Linked DNA regions of Mus musculus: region 2 is reported to be linked to region 1. Evidence: microRNA targets listed by miRTarBase, many of them from high-throughput screens and not tested one by one. Region 1 holds a microRNA gene; the other region holds the end of a gene's coding sequence.
The links. Region 1 holds the annotated microRNA mmu-miR-5110 (GGAGGAGGUAGAGGGUGGUGGAAUU, at 2,712-2,736, opposite strand). A microRNA usually pairs through its seed, bases 2 to 8, with sites in the 3' UTR of a target mRNA and lowers its output. Matches are read on the target gene's strand: a 7mer-m8 pairs with bases 2 to 8, a 7mer-A1 pairs with bases 2 to 7 and ends in A, and an 8mer does both.

Region 2: the mRNA of Mnat1 is a reported target of mmu-miR-5110. Seed matches in the 3' UTR shown: 7mer-m8 at 2,839-2,845 and 7mer-m8 at 2,842-2,848.

Annotation. Positions count from the first base shown.
Region 1 is chr11:85,757,964-85,764,845 of GRCm38, forward strand. Mir5110 (microRNA 5110) reads right to left here and starts at 2,739; the gene lies at 2,653-2,739. All of the region lies in intron 22 of Bcas3 (breast carcinoma amplified sequence 3), which reads left to right.
Region 2 is chr12:73,270,040-73,276,921 of GRCm38, forward strand. Mnat1 (menage a trois 1) reads left to right here. Exons shown (of 8, transcript NM_008612.2): 8 at 2,375-3,949. The coding sequence ends at 2,495. It also overlaps a transcript of Trmt5 not described here. Among named protein-coding and RNA genes, the nearest start is that of Trmt5, 13 kb to the right of the region's middle.

The DNA of each region.
Region 1 (6,882 bases):
CACTGTTTTGAGAAACTTATTGTATAATAATTTCTGTGTTGCTTTAAGAAGTAGCAGGTATGGGGGAATGCTGCTCTTAAATCTCCCTAAAAGGGGACTGGGAACCTGGCTCAGGCATCACTTGCCTTGCTAACACAAAGACCCTAGGCTAATCTCCAGCTCCCACATTAGAAAGGGAAGGCATAGTAGCACACGGTTACAATCCCAGCACTGGGGGGTGGAGGTAAGCAGATCCCTAGGGCTTCCTAGCCATAGTTCAGTCAAGTATAAGGTAAATAGGTCATTTCACATCTCATCTGCTAATGGCTATGGCTTGGGGTGTGCTGCTCGAAATAAAACAGGGACAGATCTTTGATCTTTTGCTCCTGAAGCTTACACCCTCACTCATCATCAGGATGGGCTGTGGGTCCTTCTGAAGGCCACTGTTCATGTTCGTTCTCTCTCTCTCTCTCTCTCTCTCTCTCTCTCTCTCTCTCACACACACACACACACACACACACACACACACACACACACCAGTAACAGTGGATACAGTGCAATAAGATGAGTCCCAGATCTGCACATTGCAGAGATCCTCTTTGGACAGATAAATCCTCCCAGGAATAGGAGAATGGTGGTGTCCACACAGACTGGCCAGGAAGCTAGTGGGCCGCCGCTCTCCTCTCCCAACAGGCAGATCTGTGTAGTTTACATCTGTGCCTAAGTGGCTGGAGTGGTTGGTGCACTGCAGAGCGACACTGACCTTGCTCATGCTTTGGGGGGTAATTGGACTTTCAGGATGAACTCTGAATAATCTGCCACTGTAATTGACACAAACCGGCTTTTCTTTCGCAGCAGACATTCATGCCTTCTTGCTCCAACTGTTTTTTCTTGAACAAACATGTGTATTGTAGCCAATGCAAGGAAAATCCCACTCACCAGTTTGATCTGAGTTGCTGCTGTCCAAGAACAATGGCCCAGTGTGTCGGCAGCCTTCGAGAATCCGGGTTCCGTGCCCGAGTCTGGTTGTGTGAGTCTCTTTGGAAGACCCTAAGGCCAGGAAGCCATTGGTCTAATGAAGACGCTCCTGCCACCCTGTGTAATATCAGTCCATGATCAGCCTTTTCCACTGCCAGCATAGGCTCTAGCCACAGCCGCAGAGTCAACACTGACATGGGCAGATAACACTACCGTCAAGGGGCTCTCTGAAGCTTGACGTAACAGTATGGGCCTGTAATCCCAGGTACTCAGGAGACTGAGGCAGGAAGTTTGCAAGTTGGAATTTGTAGCCTGGGCTACCAAGCAAGCTCAAGGCCAACTGAGCAACTTTGTAAGATCTTGTCTCAAAATAAAATAATAAATAATTGGGGCCAGGGGATGTACTCAGTGGTAGAAAGCTGGTTTAACATAGAAGTCCTTGGGCTCTGTTCTTAACACACACACACACACAAAAAAAAAAAAAAAAGGAAAGAAAGAAAGAAAGAGGAGGAGGAAAGGAGGAAGAAAGAAATTTAACTATCTTTTCTTTCATGTGCTGGCCCTTCTGTAACTTCCATAGTCACAGGAAGGACTTCCTTCTTCACTGAGAACCCACCACTTGGGGAAAAGAAATGGATTTCCCTAAGATGCTGGACACTTGGCGTCTCTGGTCTTGTTGATCTCACTGGTTCAGCAGCTAAGGAAGCCATCAACGTTAGACTGCACAGTGTTGAACTAAGCAGTCCTTGGGCTCACAGTGGTTATTGTGTGGTAGAAAGGGAAAGGCTGTTATTTTGCTAGAAGAAACTGGGGTTGGAAAAAAAACTCTACAGCACCTTCTGAAGGCGAGGCAGCTGGCAAAGGGTGGAGTGGCTTAAACACCCAGCCTCGAAGACTTACTGTCCTCCCAGCCTGTGCCAGACCGTCTTCCTATAGGAAGCTTAATCTGTGGTTCAACTTAAAATCTGAGGAAACATCTGGAATATTAGTTTTCAACCACATTTCAGACACAGAAAGTGGAGCCTAAGGAATAGCCCAGTTGGCTCCTCTCTGGGAGTGGGTAAGAGTAGAAAAGAATTGCTGATCTCAAGCATTTTGTTACCAGAATAACCCCACAGGAGAGGCCGGGCTGAACTGGGATTTGTGTGGGCCAGACAGTGTGGGGGATTTATTTCCGAGGCTGGAGGACAGCTCTTGGATTCCAGTGCCTCTCACTCAGCATCCTCCCTGGAGGCCTGCTTGCTGGAGAGGCCTTGCATCGGGGTGATGACTTCCTGGGAAGCACCTCAGAGCTGAGGCGGTTAACGAGAAAACAAGCAGCGGCCTCTGGCTACAAACCTCAGGGTTTGGGTTCTGGGGCCCAGGATAAAAATACACAGCTGGGAAGGCAAGCTCCCAATTAAGTGGAAGAGTTCAGGCAAGAGAGGTTCCAAGGCTGGGCAGCCTGCAACCGCACGCAGCCCTCTGTCTCCTTGAGCTGCCCCCGTCTCCCTGCTCCGGGCCAGCCCCAGAATCCTGTGGGGAAGTCAGCTGGCAGCATAAAGCCTGTCCCCCTTTTCCATTCAAAGAAAAGCTTGCTTGCCTTCAGCCTGCTGATTTATCTCTCTTGGCATCTCAGAATAGGAGAATATCAAAACTCAAAGGCTCCTTAAGAATCCAGCTCCTCACACTTTGATTTTGTGGAAACTGAGGCCCACTCAGGGCAAGTGGCTAGAACAACGTAGCCCTGTCCAGTAGTGGCAGAGATGACATCAAATTCCACCACCCTCTACCTCCTCCGCTTTTGTACTAAGCCTGTACCAGTTGGCACCTTGCCAGTCACCCCTGTTTCCTCTGACACCCCTCACCCCCACCTCAGGCAGAAGAATTCTCCTCAGCCTTCTTCTGAAAGAAAAGAAGCTAAGGCTGGGAGGGGAAGCAGGGCCCACAGCATTGCCGAGAGCACATGCCAGGCAGGCAGCCACAGAATCCCCATGAGTAGGCTGGGCCTCCACCGTCCGACCACACTCCCTCTCTAAGAACATGTGGGAGGACCCAGTTTGGCCGCCTCTGAGCCATGGGGCCTGCAGCAGCCATCCTAATAGCTCTATGGCTCCTGGGTTCCTCCTGCCCTTCTACCACTGCCTAGGACATTCACACAGCTACAGTGGCTTTGAGCCTTGCCAAGAGAAGCCCAATAGTTACTTTCAGACTCCAGTTCCTGCCAAGCCTGAAATAGTAATTGCCTGAAGGGTTCCAAAAAGCTGGGTTTTATCTGCAGCAGAGACTTAGCAAATCAAAACACAGGTCTTATCTCTGTAGTCTTTTCTCTGTTGTGTGGTCTTCTAAATGAAAAATGTTACCTAATTGCCTGAAACAGCTGGCCTGATGTTTAATTGCTTCAGCTTGCTAACCTGATATTCAGGACCAATAAATTATAGACAGGGAGGAGATAATCCTCTTCACACACCATCTCCATCTGGGTTCCCTTTAGGAGACATTACTGATTTGAGCCACTATGGGGGGAGGGGATTCCAGATGCAAACACTGTCAGAAGCCACCACATCTGTCTGCTGCTGTTGGACCTCAGCCTCCTTCTGTGAGGACATGCGTTTAATCCTCTCTCAAGCATCCCCGTGCTGCCCTCTGCGCTCCTGCCCACCTGCTTGGCACACACTCTGTGTCACAGACTCACCTGCCCCAACTATGCAGCCTCTGTTCTCACCTCAGTTAGTGGGCTTCCCAGAGAGCAAAGAAGCCCCTGGGAAAGGTGGCCCAGCGCCTCCTGGGATCCTGTGCAGCCTCCACCCTCACGTCGAGGATTCTGCAGCTTCCATTCTCCGCCCTCCCTGACATGGAGCCTGTGTTCTTACCACGACCCTGCTTGGTACCCCGTGCCTTTGCTCACACCAGTTCCTAGGATGTCCCTTGTTGTGCCCTAGACCTCACCTTCTCTTCCATTGCCAGATGCCACTCACTTCTCCTTCATGTGTCACCCTAAGTGCCACCACTTTGGTGCCACCTTCTTAGTCACGGCGGGTCCCGTGTCTCTTCTTCTCTGAGTACTTCAAGGCTAGGGTTTTTCCTTTTATATTTGCTATCCTCTGCTCCCTAGAATAATGTCTGATTTAAAGCCCCACAGCTCCTTGCCCCAGTGGGAGGTACACTTTGACAAGGATCTCAGCTGCCATTCTTAGAGCTGCAGAGGCCATGATCACAAGGCTGCTCTTAGAGCTGTACTTCATTGGTTTCTGAGATGGAAGGAAGAGATGAATAGAAGAGGCTGCAGTTCCTTCTCTACCCAGCATCTATCTGCTAAACTGCATGTAAGGCACTACGCGCTAGGCTAGGCTCCTCTGGTAACGTTCAACAGTTCTGCTATTTAAGATTAGTACATTAACAGTTTCAACTTAAATTATGTTTCACCATTTTCCCTATAAGGAATTTTCTCATGTGTTCAATAGCAAGAAGCTCACTCCAACCACTGCTGGCCCTTTTATGAAACTGCTATCACATGATACAAAATCCCTTTTTCCACACAAGACTCTGATAATGCTGGTGTCATTTGGGAACCTCTTCCGCAGTCCCGAGGTGAATATCGCATCGTACTTCTTTTCACTGCTTTGCGTTCTTAAAAACTCTGAGCTCCCTTCTCTTATTCTGAGGCTAAAATTGAAGCAGTTCTTCTGCACAAGCCTACCAAGGTTTCAGAATTACAGGAGTGCCTTACCACACTCCACTAGTTTGGTTTTGACACAGAGCTACATATAGACCAGGCTGGCTTCCAGCTTTTAGCAATTCTCCTGCCTCAACCTTCTGAGTACTAGGGTTATAGACATATGTACCACTATACTTTGGAGAATTCCAAGTATCTAAAGACTACTGTCTTATCTCTGAGTCTAATTTATTTTTTTTTTTAAAAAAAATGGGCATTCAAGTGCATGCCTGCAGTCAGGCACTAGGAGACTGAGGTAAGAGGACTGTCATGAGCTCAAGGCTAGCCTGGGATTCAACATAAGATCCCGTCTCAAAAGAAAATGACCTGTTTTACATAGGGTGTACCAGGACAGCCAGTGTACATAAAAAGACCCTATCTAGATAGATGAAAGGGTGGGTAGGTGGGTGGATGGATGGATGGGTGGGTGGATGGATGGGTGGGAGGGTGGACATATTCAGGAAAAATGCATCTATATAGAAGTTTTAAAGACTTTACTTGTAAGAATTATTTCCTAAGTAATACAGCTTAACAACTGTTTACATGCCATTCATGTTGTATCAGGTATTAGAGGCCATGGAGATGTGTGAGTTGCAGGAGCGTATGCATAGGCTACATGCACATACTATACTGTGTTATACAAGGGTCTTGCACAGCACTCATTTTGGTATCTTCAGTGGGGCCTGGATCCAATACCTTGCAGAACACAGGGGCGACTGTACGTCAGTATTGCATTCAGTTTCCCTGTCCTGTCTCCCCACTCCTACCCCTATATTTGATTAATTGGTGCATGTCATTGCTAGGCTTTTATGAGAAAGGCTCTGATCCCTGCCTTCCTGCCATCCTTGGCCTTTCTAGAAGCCCACCCAGGAAGCGCCATCTCTCCCCTCCTCCCCCCACCTTGTCCACGGCAGCCACACTCTCCCCTAGATGGCAGGCATAGACATTCATCCGTGTCCTGTGGCATTAGTAAGGGGTACACAGCTTAAGAGCACATTGAACCACAGACTGTGGGACAGTTCCCATCTCCTGACCCCATGGTAAGGACCAGTTCGGGCTTCTGAGAACTCCTGCTCTGGGGCCATATGCTATTTCCAGCCGAAGATGTCCACCTGCAGCTTTCTGCTCGTCTCAGCATTTTCATCCCCATTATTAGAGTCCAGCTGCAGTGTCTTTGAAGTTGTTTCCATGATGTTAAATGTTAACCATCATTCCCTTGGCCCATGCTGGAGAGTGCATTCCTTGCTGTTGGCATGATAATCACCACAGCTATATTGGCTGTGTTCTAGCTGACCACCTCAGCACAGAAAGAGCTTTGTACCAGACATCCTGAAACCTGGGTCTTGACCTGCTTGTACTGGGAAGCCATGTGACCTTGTGCATGTCTTTTCTCTCCTCTGGTCCTCATTGTCCTGCACTGTGAAGCATAGGGCTCACAGAGCTCTGAAACTGTTGCATATGTAAGCTGTGGTCCCAAGAGTTAGAGGACACACATTTATTCGTCTCCTTAAGCCCCAGTAGCTCAAGGGGATCTGGGCATGAAAGCAGTGCACTGAGAATCAGCTCCTGGGATAGAGTGCTATTCTAGCATGAACAGAGCCTGGTGTGTGATCCCTAACATGTAAAAACCATCCTGGCACTTAACTGTAGTGCCAGCGCTTGGGTGGCAGAGTGGAAAGGACCAGAACTTCAAAGTTATTCTGACTACATAGCCGGTTTAAGGTCATCCTGGGCTACAGGAGACTTTGGAGAGACAGGTAGAAATAAGGACCTGCTAAACATTTGAACTTGTAACCCTCGTCTTCTAGTTCTTTACAATGGGCTCGGCATTGGTGCTCTGGCACCCTGCATCAAACTTACTATACTAAGGTGACCTTGGGGCTCACATCTACAGTCTGGCTTGATAACTTACAATTCTGCTGTATTAGTAAGAAGAATAATCCTATCTATTCATTCTGCTGTCAGAATGTTGATGCTAGGTTCCCATACTGTCTCTGTCACTAAAGATTGTAATTAAATAATATGTCAAGTATATTGATCATATCCTTATACATTCGCTTGATATGCTGCAGTGGCCTTCTGTTGTTACACTGTATCACAAGATTAAAATCAAAAGTTTGCCAAGCCATCTAAGTTCATTTAAGAGATTTTTTTTTTTCCTGAATAAACCACACTTTTTTTTGATGGTTTGTCATTTTGACATTGACTAAAGTAATTTCTTTTTCCTCCCT
Region 2 (6,882 bases), not on the chromosome of region 1:
GTCTGGGCTTGCCTGCCAGCTGTGCAGCTGTTTCAGGCTTCTCTGCGTAGCATATAAAACGCTGGATGCACACTGCAAGTGTGTGTACTGGACTTGCCAAGCCAGGATGCTGTGACTCAACTTTCCCAGAAGCAAGCCAGACCAAATGCCGTGAATCAATAGTTAGCTGCACATGGACTTTTATTACAGCTGGGAGAGCCAATTCCATTTGTGACAGTTGTTTTCTGACTGTTGACAAATACTGCAGTGCTTGGATTCTACTGGGTCTGAACCAAATGGGACCTTTCTTTTCAGGATCTGGGAAGAGAGTAATGTGCCATTATTCGGTTTGTGAATAAAAATCAGCTAAAACACAAGTCAAAAATGGGAGGATTTAAATTCCATTACTTACTCGTGTGGTTAGCATTGAGTTTGCGGTATAAGGAGTAGAGTTAGAGTTTCTGAGGCAGCTCACCATGTGCTTTGTTTGTTGATAGAAATCCTTTTGGGGTTGTTTTGTTTGCCCTTTTTTTGGGGGGGGGACAGGGTCTGTGTAGCACTGGCTGTCCTGGACACACTCTGTAGACCAGGCTGGCCTCAAACTCAGAGATCTGCTTGCCTCTGCCTCTTGAGTGCTGAGATTAAAGGCAAGCATTACCATACCCTGCCCTAACCAGCAGAATCCTAACAGCTGGCATTTTATTGTGCTCTGGGAGAGTAATAAGAAAATAACATTGTAGTTATGTGTAGATTCAGTCCATTCCTGTCCAGCTCCTGTGAGACTTAAGGCTCTACCTGGAGCTCATCAGCGACACCTAACAGTTTCTGAAGTCGGATGCATCCTCAGAGGCGGGTAGCATGGCATGATTCATGCTTCATTTTATCTCTTCAGGTTTTCATTTCTATACATTTCATATGATCCTGTAGTATGATATAGAGTATCCATTACTAATATTTGTTATAATTTATAAATAAGCTTTGAGGGTAGATGTACAAATAACTTGTATGCTATAAATATACTACCCAAATAGTTTTAAATTTTTGCTCAATAAACATTTATTTCTTTCTCCTTTGACTTTTACCCCTTGGCAGAAAAGCAAAGATTTGAGTTAAGACCATGATTTGTGGCAGTGTGAATAAATTATAGCCAATTCCAGGAGTTTGACCTGTCTCATTTTGACAGCGTCTTCTATTTGGTCCCTTAAGTTGCCATACATGTCTTAATCATACAAGCTTATTAAAACATATGCACAAACAAAAAACTGACTTGTTATTATGTTAGAAATAGGAAGTTGCTCATGCATTAAGATCTTGACACACAGGAAGTTTGAATGAATAAGTAGAAAAGGTTCCAAGCTATTAAAATGTCCTGCTTCCTGATTTATTCATTTATCGTACCTGTAATTCTGAAAGTGGGCGAAGGAGCTTTGTTTCCAGGGCCCGTGTGGCTTCCTGCAGAGGCATTAAAGCAAGGCTGGAATTATTCTTTCCTGCAGTGCAGCTGTCTGGCTGACAAGTCAGTCCTCGGCTGAGATCCTCTGAGTTTTTAGGCCTGTTGTATCTATTTTTATGAAGGCATTAATTTTTCATTGGTAAAAAAGCTGAGACTGAAGAAACATTGTTGTTCTGCCTTTTGAGATGGGTTTGTCCTTCTGTACTTAGGACTCTATGACTCTTCAGGTCATTGTTCTCAGCTTAGGCTCTGTCCCACACTTCTTAGACGTGTACTTTCTAAGGTTCCTGTCCTTGCAAGGACAGAGACAGTATGCTTCTGGGATACCGAGGTGACTGTGAACTACTGTGTGCTCTCTTCCTGAGTGTGCTTGTTTTCCGTATGTAAGGTTTTGCTTTAAAATGCTTTTGTAAAGCCGGGCAGTGGGGCAGTGGTGGTGCACACCTTTAATCCCAGCACTTGGGAGGCAGAGACAGGTGGATTTCTGAGTTCCAGGCCAGCCTGGTCTACAGAGTGAGTTCCAGGACAGCCAGGGCTACACAGAGAAACCTTGTCTGGAAAAACCGAAACAAAACAAAACAAAACAACAACAAAAAAAGCTTTCGTAGAAATGTTAGTAGCATAATAGTGTGCGTGCTGGAAAGGACAGTATTCGCTGGATGTCTAAATAGCTTCCAAAAAAACGAATCAGTACTGGAAATGGTGAAAGAGTGGATATTTTAACATTTCATCCAAATGTACAGGTTATAAGGACTATTCTTAGAATTCATTGTCCTTTGTAACTTAGTAGTAGTTGGGCAATCCATATATATGTGTGTGTGAACCTGAACATTTCAATCTTGGAATTCCTTTCCAAATGTAGAATCAGTTTTACACTTGCTTTGCAGAATGTCACTGGCTTACGGTCTTCAAATCAATGGTGTACTTTTTGTTTTCTTTCAGGTATTTAAACCACGTCCGGGCTGCATCTCCACAGGATCTTGCTGGCGGCTATACTTCTTCTCTTGCTTGTCACAGAGCGCTACAGGATGCGTTCAGTGGGCTCTTCTGGCAGCCCAGATAACCTGTATTTTCTCATGTATAAGATCTGGATTGTGGAGCCAAACCAAGGGGTTTGAAAGTATAGAGGTTTGTAAAGTTCCAGCCCCGCAGCTGCACAGCACACCACCACTGCTGCTGTGCTCAGGTGTTTATTGCAGTCTGGACCAAGCTGAGAAATGTGTTGCATATAGATTCATGGAAGAGGTTTATTTTTTACTTCTGTTCTTTAGACAGGGATGAAGAACATTAAACCTCATCTGACAGAAAAGAAATAAATGATTTGCCTATGTTTGGAGTTGACTTACACATTTTATAAAAAATAAAGCCTGACTTTATGGTACATTTTTGTGGGATTTTTTTTTCTTCCTCCTCCTCCTTGTGTTTTTCTGGAACATATTTCCAAATGCCTTTTTGATTATAACATTCAGTGCTATTATCCAAGTCTATATTTTCCCTATAAAAACTTCTTTTTCCCCTTAATGTCGTATTGATAGTGGTACAGACAAGTGGAGATGTTTCATCTTAGCAGCAGGCCGTGTCAAGAAAGCACAACTGTGATGTGGCTCTTCCTCAGCAGTAAGAGTCTGGGGGACTGTTTTGAGCCATGCAAAGTGAGGCAAACCTAATGTGGTTCCCAGCTGTGAGCCACAGAAATGATAAACCAGAGCAGGCCATTAACCTGCTTTAATGGCAGATTCAAAGATGTGAGCTAATAAAACTTAATACATCAATGGCACCTTTCACTGCTAATGTGAGCTCATTTTATGATGAGATGTTGAGACTGGAAAAGGTACCATGTAAGTGAAATTTCTCTGCATAAATTATAGACTGATGTAGTTTTCCACCCACCAAAGCTTCAAGGGATTTTACTGTGCTTGTGGTTTTGTGTAGTTTGGGTGTGTGTTGGTCAGAAGCATGAGCATCCCAGCCTGTGTGAGTCTGTCGCATGGGCCCCTGGGTATGGAACATAGGCTTTTCCAGGAAATTAAAGGATATTCTATCAAATTTCTGTCACAACAAATGCTAACTTTATGGACATAAGAGTTAAATGAATCAAATCTCTGGTTATGTTAGTGTTAATAGTCATATGTAACAATACCATCTTTATTGGGTGGGGATCCATTTCAGTGCATCTTGTGGGACCAACCTTCCTTGCTAGAAGTCACACTTCTCATCTTTGATAAATGAGAAAACCAAGAAGTTGAATATGCCAAGAATATATATGTAAATTAGTAAAAAGCTAGAATTAGGTCAAGTTACTTCTTAATCTAAATCCACTATGGAGTGAGCATGTAGTATTCCTTATGTTAGTTAGGTTTTTGCTAATTGGTAGTTCACCCTTCTGTATTCAATCTGTAAATCTGATGAAGAAGTGATGAAAATGAGCCCACGGCTAGGGCTTTGCTGCACTCGTGGACAGAAATCAATATACCTACAATTCATGAACTAATTAATAAAACTCAAGCTTTGTTTTGCATCTGACTTAGAAATCTTTACCTACTCTGTTGGATTAAATGAAATGGAGAAAGAGCATGTCACTGAAAAATGGCCATATTCTAAACTAAATCCTGTACTTCTTTCTCACCCTCCCAGTGATGTCCTCCTAGAGACAGTGTGCAAGTCTTTCCTCTACATAAGTATCTCCTCTAGCACTAGTACAGAAATAGCCGTTGTATGGCTTTTGTGCCAGGCACTGGGCTTCATGCTTCCTGTGTTTTCTAATCCTTACAAACAATCCCGTTCCCGTCTCCCGTGTTCTTGCAGATAGAGGTGTCCAGTAACCTGCCAGGAGCAGAGAGTTATTGCATTTTAAGTACAATAACTTAAAAGCCTTAGAGCCAGGAGTTAAACTCCAGTGCCAAGGCTCCAGCAGCCATGCTCCAGAGGTGACTTGGTAATCCCATTTCAAAAAGACCTCAAGGAAGTTTTACAGAGCAAGGGTCTAACCCTGTGGGATATAAATGATGGTCAATAGATGATCTCATTGATACCCTAAGAGTTCTATAGTTCATTACATAGAAGATGACTTGCTTTAAGCAAATAATAATAGTCTGGAATACACATACATCACAAAATGCACGAGTGGTGGCCTTGGCTCATGACTCAAGAAGAGTCTCAGAATTTAAACACTGTATATCAATGCACATCCCAGCTCACATTTTCTACTGGATTCATCAAAAATCCATGTTCTAGGAATCTTCAGTTAAGGTTAGGGTGGCCCTACACTTAAGTCATCAGTTCTCTACTCAAACTCTACATGAAAGAGGAGGGAGCCCCGCAGCATTTAGAAAGGCATGTAAGTATTCACTTATAATCCTACTGTTTATGTATTAGAGGATGACTACATGGAGACAGTTCTTACAGCCTTATTTAGAGTAGATAACTACATCATTTGTGCCTCATAGCCAGTATCAGTGTACATTACTTGGGTTGTTTCAAAACGACTTGTGTATAAATGCTTTTAGATAGAAAAGCTGGGCTGTAGCTCACTACATCCCTGGGCTGTTGCTGTCCTCCCTGCATTTTCACTCACCACCTCCCTGTGCTTCTCACCACTACCACTGCCGGCTTCGCTAGTTTACATTTCCCTGCCAAGCCTCTGAAGCTGGCAGTCAGTGTTCTAGATCAGAGGTCACTTAGTAGATAGTTTAGGCCATTCAGGCCAAGTGACAAACTTAAGAGCATGATGGGATACTTACATCATGAGATTAAGCAACTTGCTGTAATTTTATTGATAAAAGTCAAGATGTAATAAGCACAATTTTTATGGTAATATCTTTAATTTGAATTCTGATTATTTAATAGTCAAATTCTACCAAATATTGGTCTCAGTCCATAAACATATGATATCAAATATGATGGTTAGTTTTCATTTTTATCAACTTGACAACCTAGAAGCATATCACGTAGGAAGAATGTCTGTCTGTTGAGTTGGCCTGTGGGCGTGTCTATGGGGGGAAGGAAGTCCCAGGCTGCTGTGGGCAGCACCATTGCCAACTAGAGGTCCTGAGCTAAGTGGCAATCAGGGTGAATGTGAGCAAGTATACATATGCATTCATTCCTTTCTGCTCAGATAGAGGATGTTCTTGCCCTGACTTCTTCACAGTGATGGACTATGGTCTCAAAGTATTAGCTGAAATAAACCCCTTTTTCCCTTAAGTTGCTCTCTGCCACAGCAACGGAAGTGAAACTAGAACATTACCCAAGCATATCCATAACTTGGAAGACACTTTTGAGAGATTCATAGAACACATTTTGATCATATTTTCCTCATTATTCTTCCCAGACCCACCCCTCCCTTCTCACCCCTCCCAAGTTTGCATCTTTTGGCCATATATTCCTGGGGGTGGGATCATCCACTGGAGCATGGTTGACATTCCAGGGGCTCATCCTTTAAAAGCTACCCCTCCCTGTCTTAGGATGTTTACCAGCTTTATTTTGTACAAGCAGCCACACATGCCATGAGTTTATGAGTGCAGTGGTCCTGTCATTTTCAGAGCACTTTCGGGAACTCTAGTCCCTTCTGATCTCTGGCTCTTAAAATCTTCTTGCTCCCTCTTCTGTGATGGTTCCTGAGCCTTGTAGGGGTGGTAGTGGTGGTGATGATACTGATGTCTCTTTATGGTTGAGCAGTGAAGGTGAGGTTCTGCCTTAGTCACCATCCATTACACAAAGAAACTTTTGTGCTGATATCTGAGAGCTGTAGGTATAGAGATGGGAATTTAGAGACGCTTGATGTCTGTTTAACAGAATAATAATAGGTTTACCCTTGATACCTGTGAGTTCCCTAACTGTGGTTCTTAGCCAGATATATAGTGCCAGGCAAGCCTTTTCCTCCTGTGGAGCAGGCCTTACTTAACCCCAGTCAGAAAGTTGTTGGTTACGCCCATTAACATTCATGCTACCATCACCCTTTGAGCTTATCTTACGAACCTGCTCATTATTGTTCACTTCTAAGTAAAACTGTTGACACCTCTCCTGCACCGACAGCAGCCTACACCACATCATCTGGTGCTATGAACGCTAGTCAGCAGGGAGGAAGCTTCCTGCTATCAGATAGATTTCTCCATGTCTTAGGACAAAATTAGGTGGTATCTCTAGCAATAGGGTCTTATTAAGTTCTGGTCAGCAGCGGCAAAAGCCTCTATTTTGGGGGAGTCTATAGCACACTCTGATCAATAACTTGAGGGGAGGTGTCCCACACACCTGGTACTGTGATTTTTATTAGGCAATCTTGGCTTCTGGGAGAAGTAGGAAGGCATTTTTGAGAGGATTATTTTCCTCATATTTGCACATGAATTTTATAAGTTGAAGTGCCTTAACTTCACTAAATAGTTTGGTGAGGAAGCATTTCCTTGGCACTTGTACCAATACCCCAAATATGGAACTTTGAAAAGACAGCTACTGCT